3 linked regions of the Cricetulus griseus genome follow. The protein of the gene in region 1 interacts with the protein of each later gene in a pairwise test. Links are inferred from orthologs where the notes say so. Each region holds a gene or a part of one and is shown on either strand. Other genes may lie near its edges.

Region 1 (4,535 bases):
TTAAATATGCTTACCGTTTATTATAACCATGTCTAATAATTTGCGTTTCTCATTAAGACAAATAAATGAGTCTGGCAGTGTTGTCTGGATGGAGAAGTGCTGTAGGAAATCACCCACCAGTTTCTTTGAGTGAAACAAATGAATGATCTTTGAGATCACGGTCAGGTATGTGGATTGATTTCCAAGTTCTCAAGGAGAGTGTCTATCGTTTCTGATTTCCCTGCTCTCCTGGTTCCTTCAGATACCTTCCCAAGTCTCTGGGAAAATGCCTGAAAAGTGCCTCTCTTCCTGTGTACCTACACAAACTCAAGATCCGTGTCCCCCCCCCCCCCCCCGCAGCAACACACACCGGGTTTCTGCTTATAATTTTACTAAGAAACGTTGGTGAGAGAGTAATGCAGTGCGTACTGGATTTGGGTCCCAGGACAGCTCACTTTGCAGTTGCTTGCTTTCTGGGTAAGTCACACATGTGAAGCTCATGGGCCTTTTTCCCAGTCTTCGCTTGTTCCTTCTGGAGATCTCCCCTTGGATCACCTAATTAGGAAATGGGAAAGTGTCAGGGCAGGAGCACCTCACAAGTGGAAAAGGCCAAAAGAGCTCTCTGCCTGCTCGTGAGGGACTTTAGATCCATCACTTCCTGAAGGTGGTGTTATTATTCGATAACCCTGGAGCCCAAGAGGGCGGGCAGATCCAGTGACTTGGGGTGTGCTATCAACGCTCACCCCCAAGATCACACCAGGGAACCCATGGTGATGCTGGCTTATTTATTGAGGCCTGGCAAAGGCAGGCCGGAGAACTCCAAGGCCCTCTTCTCTAGTATGCGCCATAACCTAACAGCCGACCACAAGCACCTCAAACAACCCACAAACTGGTAGAGAAAAAGACACCGCAGGAGCAACCCTAAATAATTTTATTTTTGTCACATTTTCTCCCACACCTTTTCCCCCTCCTGCCTCTCGGGACTCAGAAGTCAAGGTCAGCTGCGCTTCGCCAAAAAGAGCGCACCACCCAGGCTGGCAAGCAGCACTGCAGTCGGAGTCCTGGGAATTATTCCCACCTGTCAGGGGAAGCCGCACAGCTGGGGCAGGGACGCATAGCAGCACCTGTGAGTGCGGCTCACGCCTCCGCTGCGCGTGGGACCCCCCCCACCCCACCCCGACCCCGCGGTCCTGCCCTGGTTCAGGGAAATGTGCTACTGAGAGGACCCTGGAGCGAAGTCACTCTCTGGGCTCGGGTAGCCGACCCCTTCCACTACTCAGCCCGGCGCTGAGAGTACCACAAAAACAAGTGCTGATCTGCGGAAGGAGGAGGCAGGGCTGGGCGAGCTAGGGAGGAGCTCAGCCGGAGAGAAAGGGGCGGTCCCGGGTGAGGGCAGAGGCTGTGCCGGCGCCTCCTCATTGGCCGGGACGAGGCAGCCAGCGGGTAGGGGCGGAGCTTGTCTGTCTCCCCGCCCCGGCCCCGCCCATTCCCCACCCCGGCCCCGCCCCCGGGCCGCTGTTGGGACTCCCGCGCCCCTCGCGCCCTCCCGCGGGCGGGCCGTCCGAGTTTTTAAAGTGGGCTGGCAGCCGAGGAAACCGGACATTCGAGAGCGGCCGGTGCACAGCTTCGGAGTCTCCAGCGTTCCGCTCCAGCTCTCCTGAGGCGGCCGTACAATCCTCGGCAGTGTCCTGAGACTGTATGGTCATCTCAGCGGCCGCACTCGCCTGGCCCCGGATTCTTTCCAACTCGCTCTCTTTGAGCCACTGTTTTTGTTTGTTGGCTGGTTGGTTTTGTTTTGTGACATCCCAGAAAACTGACTCCTGTTTGCGGATAAACGGAACTTCAGGTCCCTTGTCTCTGCTCTCTCCTTTGGCGTCTTACAACCTCCTCCCACTCCTTTCCCCGGCCCCGCCTCCTCCTACAGGTTCCTCCCCGCCACCCCTCTCCTCCCTCCTCCTCCTCCGCACCTAGCCAGGCGTCCGCCAAACTTCCACCTGATTGTGCGGGACACTCGGACCTGCGAGCACTAAAGACCTTTCACACCTGCCGGGGCGACAGAGAGCCGCCGAGGGCCACAGCTAAGGCAGCGGCTGCAGCCCCTACCGGCCTAAGGAACCCAGGTGCTCCGGGTCTCGGAGGGACACTGCAACAATGACAGCTGACAAGGAGAAGAAAAGGTAAGCGGGCGTCGGAACCGGCGACCAACTCAGTGCCAGGCAGTGGCGGAACCGCGCGAGGCGGGCGCGACCCGGGACAGTTGCGGGAGGTCTCGGAGGCCGGGGGACCGCTCTGGAGGTGGCGGTGGGTGGGTGGGTGAGCGAGCAGGTGCGGACTTTACGGACGCGCAGCTGCCGCTTCACAACAAAGTCGCGAACCCGATCGTTCTGAGACCTTGAGTCACAGAGAGGTGGCCCTGGAGGTCAGGGGTGCTTCCGCGGCGCCTTCCAAAGTCTGTCGTCCCCAGAACACCAAGCTCTGGGGTTTGAAATGTTTCTGGGCTGATGCCCTCGACTTTCTCAGGGTTTACCTGCTGAGCAGACACGCCTTTCTTTTCCTAAGACCCCTTCAGGTCTTTCCGAGAGCTCTCCTTTGCGGGCTCCGCGCCCCAAACTAGTAAGGGACAGAGGGCAAAGCGCAACTCGGGGGCGCTTCCTGGCCCCAGGAGCCGGAACACGGCCAAGTGCCCTGCTCCTGAAGGCACTCAAGTTTTAGAACACCCCCTTCCCTCGCCCTGCATCTGGACTCCACCAGAGAGTGGGTAGTGACCTGGATTGCCCTGCGGGGGCAGGTGTCTTAGTGTGCAGAGAGAGGACGGCGACACCGGACCTCTCCGAGTGTCTGAAGAAGACAGAGAAGGGCAACCACGAAGGCCTGTCCTCGCGAATCTTTCCGCACTGGGTGAGAGGCAACTCCGGCCAACTCGCGCTGCCCTAGTGTCTCCTTCAATCCGCCCCGGATCAGGCGACACCGGCAGGGCTCTCTCAGAGCCTGGGTGCGAGCGCACCACGCTGCCGCGCAGCCCTGGGTACACCCTCGCCTCCTGCAAAAGTTTGTGGCTAGTCGCCTGGCCCTTTGCTCCTGTTTCGACCGGTGCGAGCCTTTTGGGCTAGAGCGTCTAACACTGGGCTCAGCGGCTACTTGGCTAGGGTGGCTGGAATCGAACGCAGGATGTCAGAGTGGCGCGGGCCGCGCGGGAGATCCGCAGGCAGGATGGAAAGGACTGCGCTGAGGACTCGGCCCCAGAGCAGACTGGCTTTTGTTTGGACTTCCACTTAGGGACCCGAGCCAGGAACAGTGTATCCTCTGGTCGAAAGCGACAGCTCCCACCTCAGGGCACCGATAAGGATTTGATAAACGAGCGAATCGCACCCGTCCTGGCCAGGCGCCCGCACCGTGCGCTGACGGATCTCTAGGGGGAAGGTATTGAGTCGGGTTCTAGATTCCCCGTTGTTGCCCACCAAACAGCTCTGGGGTGCTGTGTCCTTTGAGGTTATACAAGCAAGGGAAAAGACTCAAGCTGTAAAGGCAATCAGAATGCAGTCATAATCAAAACCGCGAAGTCAGACAGCCCAGAGCCGCCAGGGGAACTTACTGAACTTTTTATTCCTGCGGTGCCTATGGGTGACTGTCGCATTTGTACAGATGAGGCCTGATGGTAATCGGTGTGAAGTGTCATCTTGCTCTTAGGTCTACCAATCATGGGAAAAGCTGCTTCCATACCCGACTTACAGAAGCCTCCTTAGCAGAGGGCTGTTGGAGGGTGCGGGGAGCCCCAGTAGGAACAGGAAGACAGTTGCATAATAACACTACAAATTACCGATGAGTGCAAGCGGCCGCTTTAAGAACCAGTGAAACACGCTGGCCTGTGAACCTCCTAGGAGGCCGCTGCGGGTGTGCAGCTCCCTAGTGGTAGCCCAGCAGGGATTTTGCGTGTGTTAAGGTAAGGCAGGGCAAGCCTTGTGCAAGTTCCCTCACTGCCCAATGCCTGTTAGGCCAATGGCATTGAGACTCTGGTTATATTGGCTGGCTTCTTAGAGCATCGAGATGTATTTAAAAATTGTGAAGCAGGGCATTGAATGCCTCACGAAATTGTTGTGAGCTGCAGGGTTTCCTGAAAGATTTGTATTTTTATTGGTTTAAGAGCTGTTTCTTCTCTAGAATATAATTGAACATTTTTCATTCTAGAAACAGCCCCTCAAGAATCCAGAAGGATTGTTTCTATTCCCAGGCATCCCTGTATATACTAATCCATAACAATTAAGAGCAAGCCTTTTCATTGTTGGCTGGCTAACAGGCTTTGACAGAGGGAACCATGTCCAGCTCTATTGAGTTTAGATGAAGCAGAGGTCTCACCAGTCTTCCAAGGTTCCTGACTCTGGGAAGAGCTAAGTATGGATGTGCTCAAGTGGAGATTTGCAGGGCAGAGCAATTAAGATAAATAGAAGCCGGGTCCCAGGATGGCCAGGAATCCAAGTCCAGGCCCTAAGCCAGACTCTAGTCTAAGTACCTTTCAGCAGTATTCTGGTACTTGATGCCAGGGCAAGGGTACCCAAGGA
Region 2 (4,032 bases), on another chromosome or scaffold:
TTGTTGGCACTTTAGATTTCACTGTATTTAAATTGAAGAAGGACTAGGAAGAATTTCATGATGAAGTTTTTTTTTTTTTTTTTTTTTTTTGTGTGTGTGTGTGTGTGTGTGTGTGTGTGTGTAAGTAGGACTCGAACCCAGGGCCTCATGCCTACCAGGCAAGCATCTCATCATCACTATCACTTTGTTTTTCTTACAACAGATAACTTAGCTTTGGATGGAGATGTAAATGGTTGAGGGCAGTAGTTCCTGAACCTACATATATTTGAACTGTGTTTGTGTATTTGGGCACACGCACAGGAAGGAGGGATGTAGTTAGGTTTTTCTTTGGGTTGTCAGCTCACCAATAATGACACAGAAACTTATTATGAATTATGAAAGCTTGGCCAATAGCTTGTTTCTAACTCAGTCTTATAGTTTAAATTAACCCATTAATCTTCATGCTGCCATGTGACTCATGGCTTTTATCTTTCCTCCTGCATGTCTGTTCCCTCTGCATCTGGCTGGTGGACTCCTTATTCTTCCCAGAGTTATCTCTCTGCCCTGTACCTCTTCCTGCCTAGTTATTGGCCATTCATCTTTTTATTAAACCAGTCACAGTGACACATCTTCACACAGTGTAATGGAACACTGCACAATGCAGGGGATGTTTAAAGGAACACAAGTGACCCATCTTCCTGCCAGGCCATTAGCAAAACCCCAAACTCCCTGTGAATGAGGATGTAGCTGATAAAAATACCCTGGCGAAAAGTGAGTATGTAAGGAAGAGCTTATTTGGCTCACACTTCCAACTCCTTGGTCCATTACAGGGAAGTGAAGGCAGGCTTTAAGCACTGCATCCACAGTTAGGAGCAGTGAGAGAGAGTAATGCATGGATCCTTGCAAGTTGTAGTCAGAAACAAAGAGAATAAATGCACAAGTCCCTGCCTGCCTGCTTGCTCAGTTTTTCTCCTCTCTTATACTGTTGAGGACCTTCTACCTAAGGAATGGTGTTGCTCCAACAGACAGAAATGCCCACAGGTCAATCTGATCAACATAATTCCTCCTTAAGACTCTCTTCCTGCGGGCTGGAGAGATGGCTCAGGGGTTAAGAACACTGGCTGTTCTTCCAGAGGTCCTGAGTTCAATTCCCAGCAACCACATGGTGGCTCACAGCCATCTATAATGAGATCTGGTGTTCTTTTCTGGCGTGCAGGCAGAACATTGTATATATGATAGATAAATCTTAAAAAAAAAAAAAAGACTCTTCCTGGGTGGCTCCAGACTGTCACGTTGAGAGCTGAAGTTGATTGGGGCAGAGGGACTGTATATAATTAGAGTACTGAAGCATAATACTCTGGCCTGTCAGACAACCAGATTATGTTTAAGCTGAATTCGTTCTGAAACAGACTTTATTTAATTGACCTTTCCCCTCTGATCATTAGATGACATGGAATCTATAGCTGCCTGAGAGGGGATCTTACTGCTTTCATATAGTATTGTCGCTAAGCATCCTCTTTCTCTACCACCAGTGAAGGTGTCAGTGCGTGACTCCAGGCATTGGAGACTTAGAAAACGAATCCCTGATTTACTTTCAGATCCTGTATCCTGACCTGTGATAAATTGATTATCCATTTCTCCTGATTAGGCAGCAGATGGATTTTTGTTTGTCGTAGGATGTGACAGAGGGAAGATCCTCTTCGTCTCTGAGTCCGTCTTCAAGATCCTCAATTATAGCCAGGTAACCTTCGAGCCCATGCTAGCAGCCACCAGCTTTATGGTAGTGAGAGATAAAACCCCAGTTTTTCAGAAGAATTAAACTATATGGACCACAGGTGATACCCTTCTTCCAGAAATTCTTAACTTCTTAATGGAGAAAGGAATTTAGACTTAGGAAGAATTTTAATGGGTCCTCTATTTCCCCAACTGGAATATCTGACTCTGACCCAACCAACAGTTTGTTTTCTTATTGCTACAAAATGAAGATCCCATGTCTGTGGACTAGGAGTGGGGAGTAAGGCTGTCTGACAAGGGAGAATTCAATACCCAAGAATAAGAATCTTGGAAACTTACCCCACAGTGCTACGATGCTCTGTGAGCCTTGGCATCCTCTACACATTAATAATAATGACCAGGTGGCCTTAGTTTCTTGTCTTGTTATAAAACACACTGACAGAAGTCAACACAAGGGTGAAAGGGTTTATTGCAGATCAGGTGGAGGTTACAGTCCATCAGGGGCCTTAGGCAGCTGGTCACATCACATCCACCTTTAAGAAAGAGCAAGCAATGGGTGCATGCAAGCCCCACCTCCCATTCTCCGTTTATTCGATCCAGGATCTCAGTCAGGGAATGGGCTTGGCTCAGTGGGTGGGTTGCCCCACACCAGTTACCCCTAGCAAGCGTGCCCATATGCCCATCTTTCAGGGGATTCTAGATTCTGTTAACATTAACTGTCCTACACAGATTTTTAGATTGCCTGTAGGATTAAATAAGAGGAGCACATGAAAGCTTCTAGAATAATCATTTCACCTATTGTGTCCTCAGAATATTTGTTAATCCATTTACTCATTTACATCTTGGAAGTTGCATGGAAGCATGGTAGGCAGACGGTTTTAATCAAAATGGCATATCTATAAATGAGAATTCATGTAAATTTAGCTTTCCCAAGATGCTTTACTCTTTAATTTTTTTTCCTCAGGGCACTTATTAAGGAAGGTTTGTAGTCTCTGTGAGTGGATATAGGTGACGAAAGCATCCAAAGATAGGACTTGGCTAGTTGGGCTCTGCACTTACCCTAACATTCAGGTAGCTGAGATAGGAAGAATTTGAGGACAGCCTGAACCAAATAGAGTCCCAGGAAAGGTGGGGCTACACAGGGAAATTCTATGTCAAAACAAACAATAACCCCTCAACAAATAATCAAGAGGCTTAATGTCAGAGCTGGAGATAGCCCAGTCTCTGTGGTTTTTCTTTTTAAGGTCTACTGGGGAACTCAGGAGTGTTGGACGTGTGTCTGTTTGGGGTGTCTATCCATGCAAAGGGCTGGACGTGTTCAGGGTCCCGTGAACGCTTGAGATGTTTGACTTAAGAACACAGTGGAGGCCAGGGCCATATAGACTGTGAGTACTGCTGTGTCTTCCACATGTCGCTGGTGCTGACTTGTCCATTCACATTTCATCCCCACAGAATGACCTTATTGGCCAGAGTTTGTTTGACTATCTGCACCCTAAAGATATTGCCAAAGTCAAGGAACAGCTATCTTCCTCAGACACCGCACCCCGGGAGCGACTCATTGACGCAAAGAGTGAGTGCAGGGGAGGCTGTATGCTTCCTCATCACCTCACACTGCCCCGCACTGCCCCACCAATGCCCAGGTACACAGACAGGTTCCTGGGGCCCACTCTGTCTTCTTACCTCCCTGCCTTTTTTCTTCATGATAGCTGCTTGCTGTGGCTAACTGGACACATTTACAGTCACTTGCTTTGTTTACTTTGTAGTCTACATAGAGAAGAGAAGTTTCAGTGTCCAGACTTAGTGGAAGAAGGAACTTTGACTTGATTCTGGTCATTTTTTACAGAATCTAGAACTTCCTAGATGAAAGGGCTCACACTGTCTTGTTCTCCCAGAACAAATCTCTCTCTCTCTCCTTCTCCCTCTCCCTCTCCCCTTTCCTCTTCCTCCCTCCCCTCACCTCGTTGCACTCATGCAGCCTCAGATGATAAGCCTAAGAACACATAAAATGCTACTGTTTCAGCCAGATGGTGGTGGTGCATGCCTTTAATCTCAGCCTCAGGAAGTAGAGGCAGGTGGATCTCTGTGAGTTCGAGGCCAGCCTGGGTCTATCTACAAAGCAAGTTCCAGAACAGCCAGAGCTGTTACACAGAGAAACCCTTGTCTCCAAAAACAAACAAAAACCAATGTTTCTTGGCTCCACACTTTCTGCAGCCTGGGATCAGCATTTCTCTAGCCCCAGCCCTTGTTCCCAGGTCATGACCCAGGGGAGGTTAGGCACACATCCTGCCGTTACCAGTCACTAGCTGTGTGGCTGTGAGG
Region 3 (4,032 bases), on another chromosome or scaffold:
TTAAACTCTCTGGGAGCTGGGGATACAGCTTACCAGTTTCCAGCACCCACATCAGGTGATTCAAACTGCCGATAACCTGTGCTCTAAGAGATCTGTCTGTCCTCTGGGGCAGCTTCCCCTAACACACACACACACACACACGCATGAATAAAAAGTAAATCTTAAAGATTAAGCTAAAATAAGAGTAAGTTTTTTAAAGTGAAAAGAAAATGTTCTAGGTGGTGGTGGTGTACACCTTTAGTTCCAGCACTCAGGAGGCAGAGGCAGACAGATCTCTGTGAGTTTGAGGCCAGCCTGGTCTACAAATTGAGTTCCAGGTCAGTCAGAGCTATAGAGAAACCTTAACTCAAAATAAAAAAAGAGAAAAGAAAAAGAAAATGAAAAAAAGGAAAAGAAAAGAAAGAAAGATGAACAAAATGAACAACACATACCTATGTCATAGTGCATGGCAAAACTATCAATCAAACACCAATTTTCTGCTGTGGGGTCTGCAAAGCCCCGGCCTGTGAGAAGATGAGGCCACAACAGGAGAACTCTGAATGAATCATTCCCTAGTCTCCAGGTGACAGATCCCTTATAACTGGACTCCAGGTGGGTGGCACTGAGGAGGTGGTGCCCATGGTTGATCCTTGGATTGTGTGTGGGGGTATCTTAAGTGTGAGGGGGTCTGCAATGGAGATGTCCATTGCTCTTCCAAACTAATGAGGCATTAGTACACAAGGTTATTTCCTTATCTCCAATGTCTAATTTAAGGAATGTGAGACACAGACTCTCTGATGGCTACAATAGAGGTGAACTGAAATCCTGCTCCCATCCGAATCCAAGTACAGCCACTTACCTTGAGGATTAAGTGACTGAGCTCCTTATCCTGAATAAATGAAGGCCTAGAATTTTCTCCTAAGAAAGACTCTGTCATGCCTAAAAACAAATAGGCCAAAGTTACTGAGAGCACAGAGAAAGAAATTCAGTAATTGCTCAGTGGACACCGTCCATGAGCTGCTGCGGCTATTACAATGACGGCGCAGTGGTGTTCGCAACATCTGGGGACTCTTGGGACCCTTCCCTCCCTCCCCTTCCTTCCTCCCCTCCCTCTTTTCTTCCTTTTTTTGTTAAATAGGGCCTCCTATATTCTGGGCTGGCTTTGAACTCACTATGTAGCCCAGGACGACTTTGAACTCCTGATCTTCCTGCCCCACTTCCCAAGAGCTTGGATTACAGGTGTGTGCCACCACACCCGGTTTATGTGACACTGAGACTCCAACCCAGAGTTTCACAGGCTACTCTCTGCCTGTTGTGTCTATAACACAGTCCATAGGCACCCTCTGAAGTTTGGTGTCTAAGGTTTTGCCGAACCAATACAGCTGTGCTGTGCCAAACACACTGGAGCACAGAACCAAGTGTCTTAAGCCATCTTCACTAATGTGCTGTGCTGACTCAGGCTTGGTCAGGCTGTGTAGACAAGCAGCTGACCACATGATGGCTGAGAAGGGGTGTGGCACCAGATACATCAGCCCCTGGAAATGGCAATGGATTTAGAGAGTGTCTGCCCTGCTCAGTTCCCATAGTTCCTCCCAGCACACACCTCTGCTGGGACACATACCACACTAGGGGTTGTGTTGTTATATTTAAAACATTTTTTATTTATTCATGGGGGGATCAGTTCTCTCCTCCTACCATGTGGGTCTCAGGGACCAAACTCAGGTTGTCAGGCTTGTTGACAAGCAACTTTACCCGCTGAGCCATCTCACTGTCCCCACACCAGGGGACAATGACCTCACTGTGAGTCTACCCTCTTGTCAACAGAGACATCCAAAGGGCAGAGATTTTGCGCCTCTCTCTCTCTCTCTCTCTCTCTCTCTCTCTCTCTCTCTCTCTCTCTCTCTCTCCTCTCCTGTCCTCTCCTTTCTCTTAGTAGAGAATAGGTTTATAGCTGGTGTTCAATTCATATGTGTTGAATTAGCTGACTGACTCATGCCCCTGGGACAAGGCTAATATTAAGGTCCTTGGGTAATCTCTGGGATGGAATCAAATGACCCTGGTGTAGCCTGGAATTTCATTGCTAAAGATTCAAGAGAAACCAAGTAACTTATGCAAGCCTCAGGAGTGGGTAAAAGAGACTCTTGTTTCTCAACAGACTGATGGAACGAACCCAGATCTCTAAGCACAGAAAAGGAAGTCCCAGAGAGCTCTGCTCTCTCCTGCATCCCCAGTCTGGGAAGATTGTTGTCAGGGTCCACAGAACACCCTGTTCTCTGAAACTCTTGCTCTGTGCTTGGCTTTACAGGCAGAGATCTAGAAAGGAACCACAAGGTGGCAGTGTGTATCCGTTTTATACTTTGTTTGCTTTGAGACAAGGACTCATGTAGCCCAGGCTGGCCTTGAGCTCCTAATCTGCTGGTCTACACCTTCATGTTGGGGTTTTTAGTGTCTGACAGCCTATCTTCTCACATGAAGGCAAGGAGTACAATTTTGCATGGTCATGGTAAGGCGGACAGACATATCATAGCCAGGACCAACCACAGAGTTAACAGAGCTCTCTGATAAAGAGATGATGTCAATAGCCTGAGACAGCTCTCATCCTTACTTACCTCTCAGAGACCTCAAGTACTGCACTGCCCTCCTCAGGACGCTGAGCTTGTCCAGTTTTCGGGCAGCGGGGCTGAGTGGAGGGATCACAGATGACAGCTCCTGAATCAGATGGTTCATCTTGTCTCTCCGCCGCTTCTCCATCTGGCTGTGAGCTTCCCTGGGAGGGAGAAAGAACATCCTTGGCTAATGTTCACCCCGTTGCCCAGAGGCACTAGGGGTGCAGGACCCATGGCTCTCAGGATGCTCTTACAGCAGCTGCACTTACGTGAGAAGCTGGCGCCTCTGGGGAAAGTGCTTGTGAAAGCACCCACCACATCCAGCGGCTTTGACCATGAACTTCCTGAGCTAAGACATCTGTGGTCTACGGGCTGTGGTTTCCTCCCTCTCCGCTGTGGGACAGTGAGTGGCCTCTTCTCATTAGAGGTGACCTGAAACTTGCACAGCTGTTGCCCTTACTTCATCCCCCTCCAGCTCCAGACTGTGTCCAAAAGTGCTGGAGCCCTGTTCTGAAAGACACAGCGCTGATTCTGGTACTGTTGCTGTGGTTTTTGATGCTAAGTCTTCCGTTTCCAACTGGTTTTCCCTGAAAGCACGTGGTCTCCACTGAAGCTTCTCCATGTTTAAAATCATGTACTCTGGAGACTTGTGCAGGAAAACCACTGAGAGTTCAAGGCCCGCCTGAGTTATGCATCAAGACCCTCTCTCCAAAGCACAAGGCAAAGAAAAGCCTACACTTCTGCCCATTCTAGGAAGCGTTTTACAGTTTCTGTTTCATTATGATGACTATCATCACCATCAACACCACCATTATCACCATCATCACCCTCATCACCACCATCATCACCATCATCACCACCATCACCATCATCATCACCATCATCACCATCATCACCATCACCATCATCACCATCATCATCATCATCACCATCATCATCATCATCACCATCACCATCACCACCATCACCATCACCATCACCATCATCATCACCATCACATCATCACCATCACCATCATCACCATCATCACCATCATCACCATCATCACCATCACCATCATCACCATCATCATCACCATCATCACCATCACCATCATCACCATCATCACCATCACCATCATCATCACCATCACCATCATCACCACCATCATCATCACCATCATCATCACCATCACCATCATCATCACCATCACCATCATCATCACCATCACCATCATCACCATCATCATCACCATCATCACCATCACCATCATCACCACCATCACCATCACCATCATCACCATCATCATCACCATCACCATCATCATCACCATCACCATCATCACCATCATCATCACCATCATCATCACCATCACCATCATCACCATCATCACCATCATCACCATCATCACCATCATCATCACCATCATCATCATCACCATCATCACCATCATCACCATCATCATCAC

What was found. The genes of interacting proteins can lie anywhere in the genome.
Region 2: the proteins of Epas1 (region 1) and Arntl interact in binary tests that used the Homo sapiens proteins (3 or more experiments, as listed by UniProt). The link is inferred for Cricetulus griseus from reciprocal best matches to the Homo sapiens genes EPAS1 and BMAL1.
Region 3: the proteins of Epas1 (region 1) and Arntl2 interact in binary tests that used the Homo sapiens proteins (3 or more experiments, as listed by UniProt). The link is inferred for Cricetulus griseus from reciprocal best matches to the Homo sapiens genes EPAS1 and BMAL2.

Annotation. Positions count from the first base shown.
Region 1 is NC_048598.1:88,387,234-88,391,768, forward strand, and holds the start of Epas1 (endothelial PAS domain-containing protein 1), read left to right. Parts: upstream 1-1,487; 5' UTR 1,488-2,130; coding exon 2,131-2,156; intron 2,157-4,535.
Region 2 is NC_048596.1:87,395,467-87,399,498, reverse strand, and holds part of Arntl (aryl hydrocarbon receptor nuclear translocator-like protein 1), read left to right. Parts: intron 1-1,627; coding exon 1,628-1,720; intron 1,721-3,102; exon of another isoform or gene 3,103-3,165; coding exon 3,166-3,283; intron 3,284-4,032. UniProt on the Homo sapiens protein: Transcriptional activator which forms a core component of the circadian clock.
Region 3 is NC_048601.1:2,917,002-2,921,033, forward strand, and holds part of Arntl2 (aryl hydrocarbon receptor nuclear translocator-like protein 2), read right to left. Parts: intron 3,198-4,032; exon of another isoform or gene 2,923-3,197; coding exon of another isoform or gene 2,855-2,922; intron 2,747-2,854; coding exon 2,589-2,746; intron 919-2,588; coding exon 839-918; intron 1-838. UniProt on the Homo sapiens protein: Transcriptional activator which forms a core component of the circadian clock.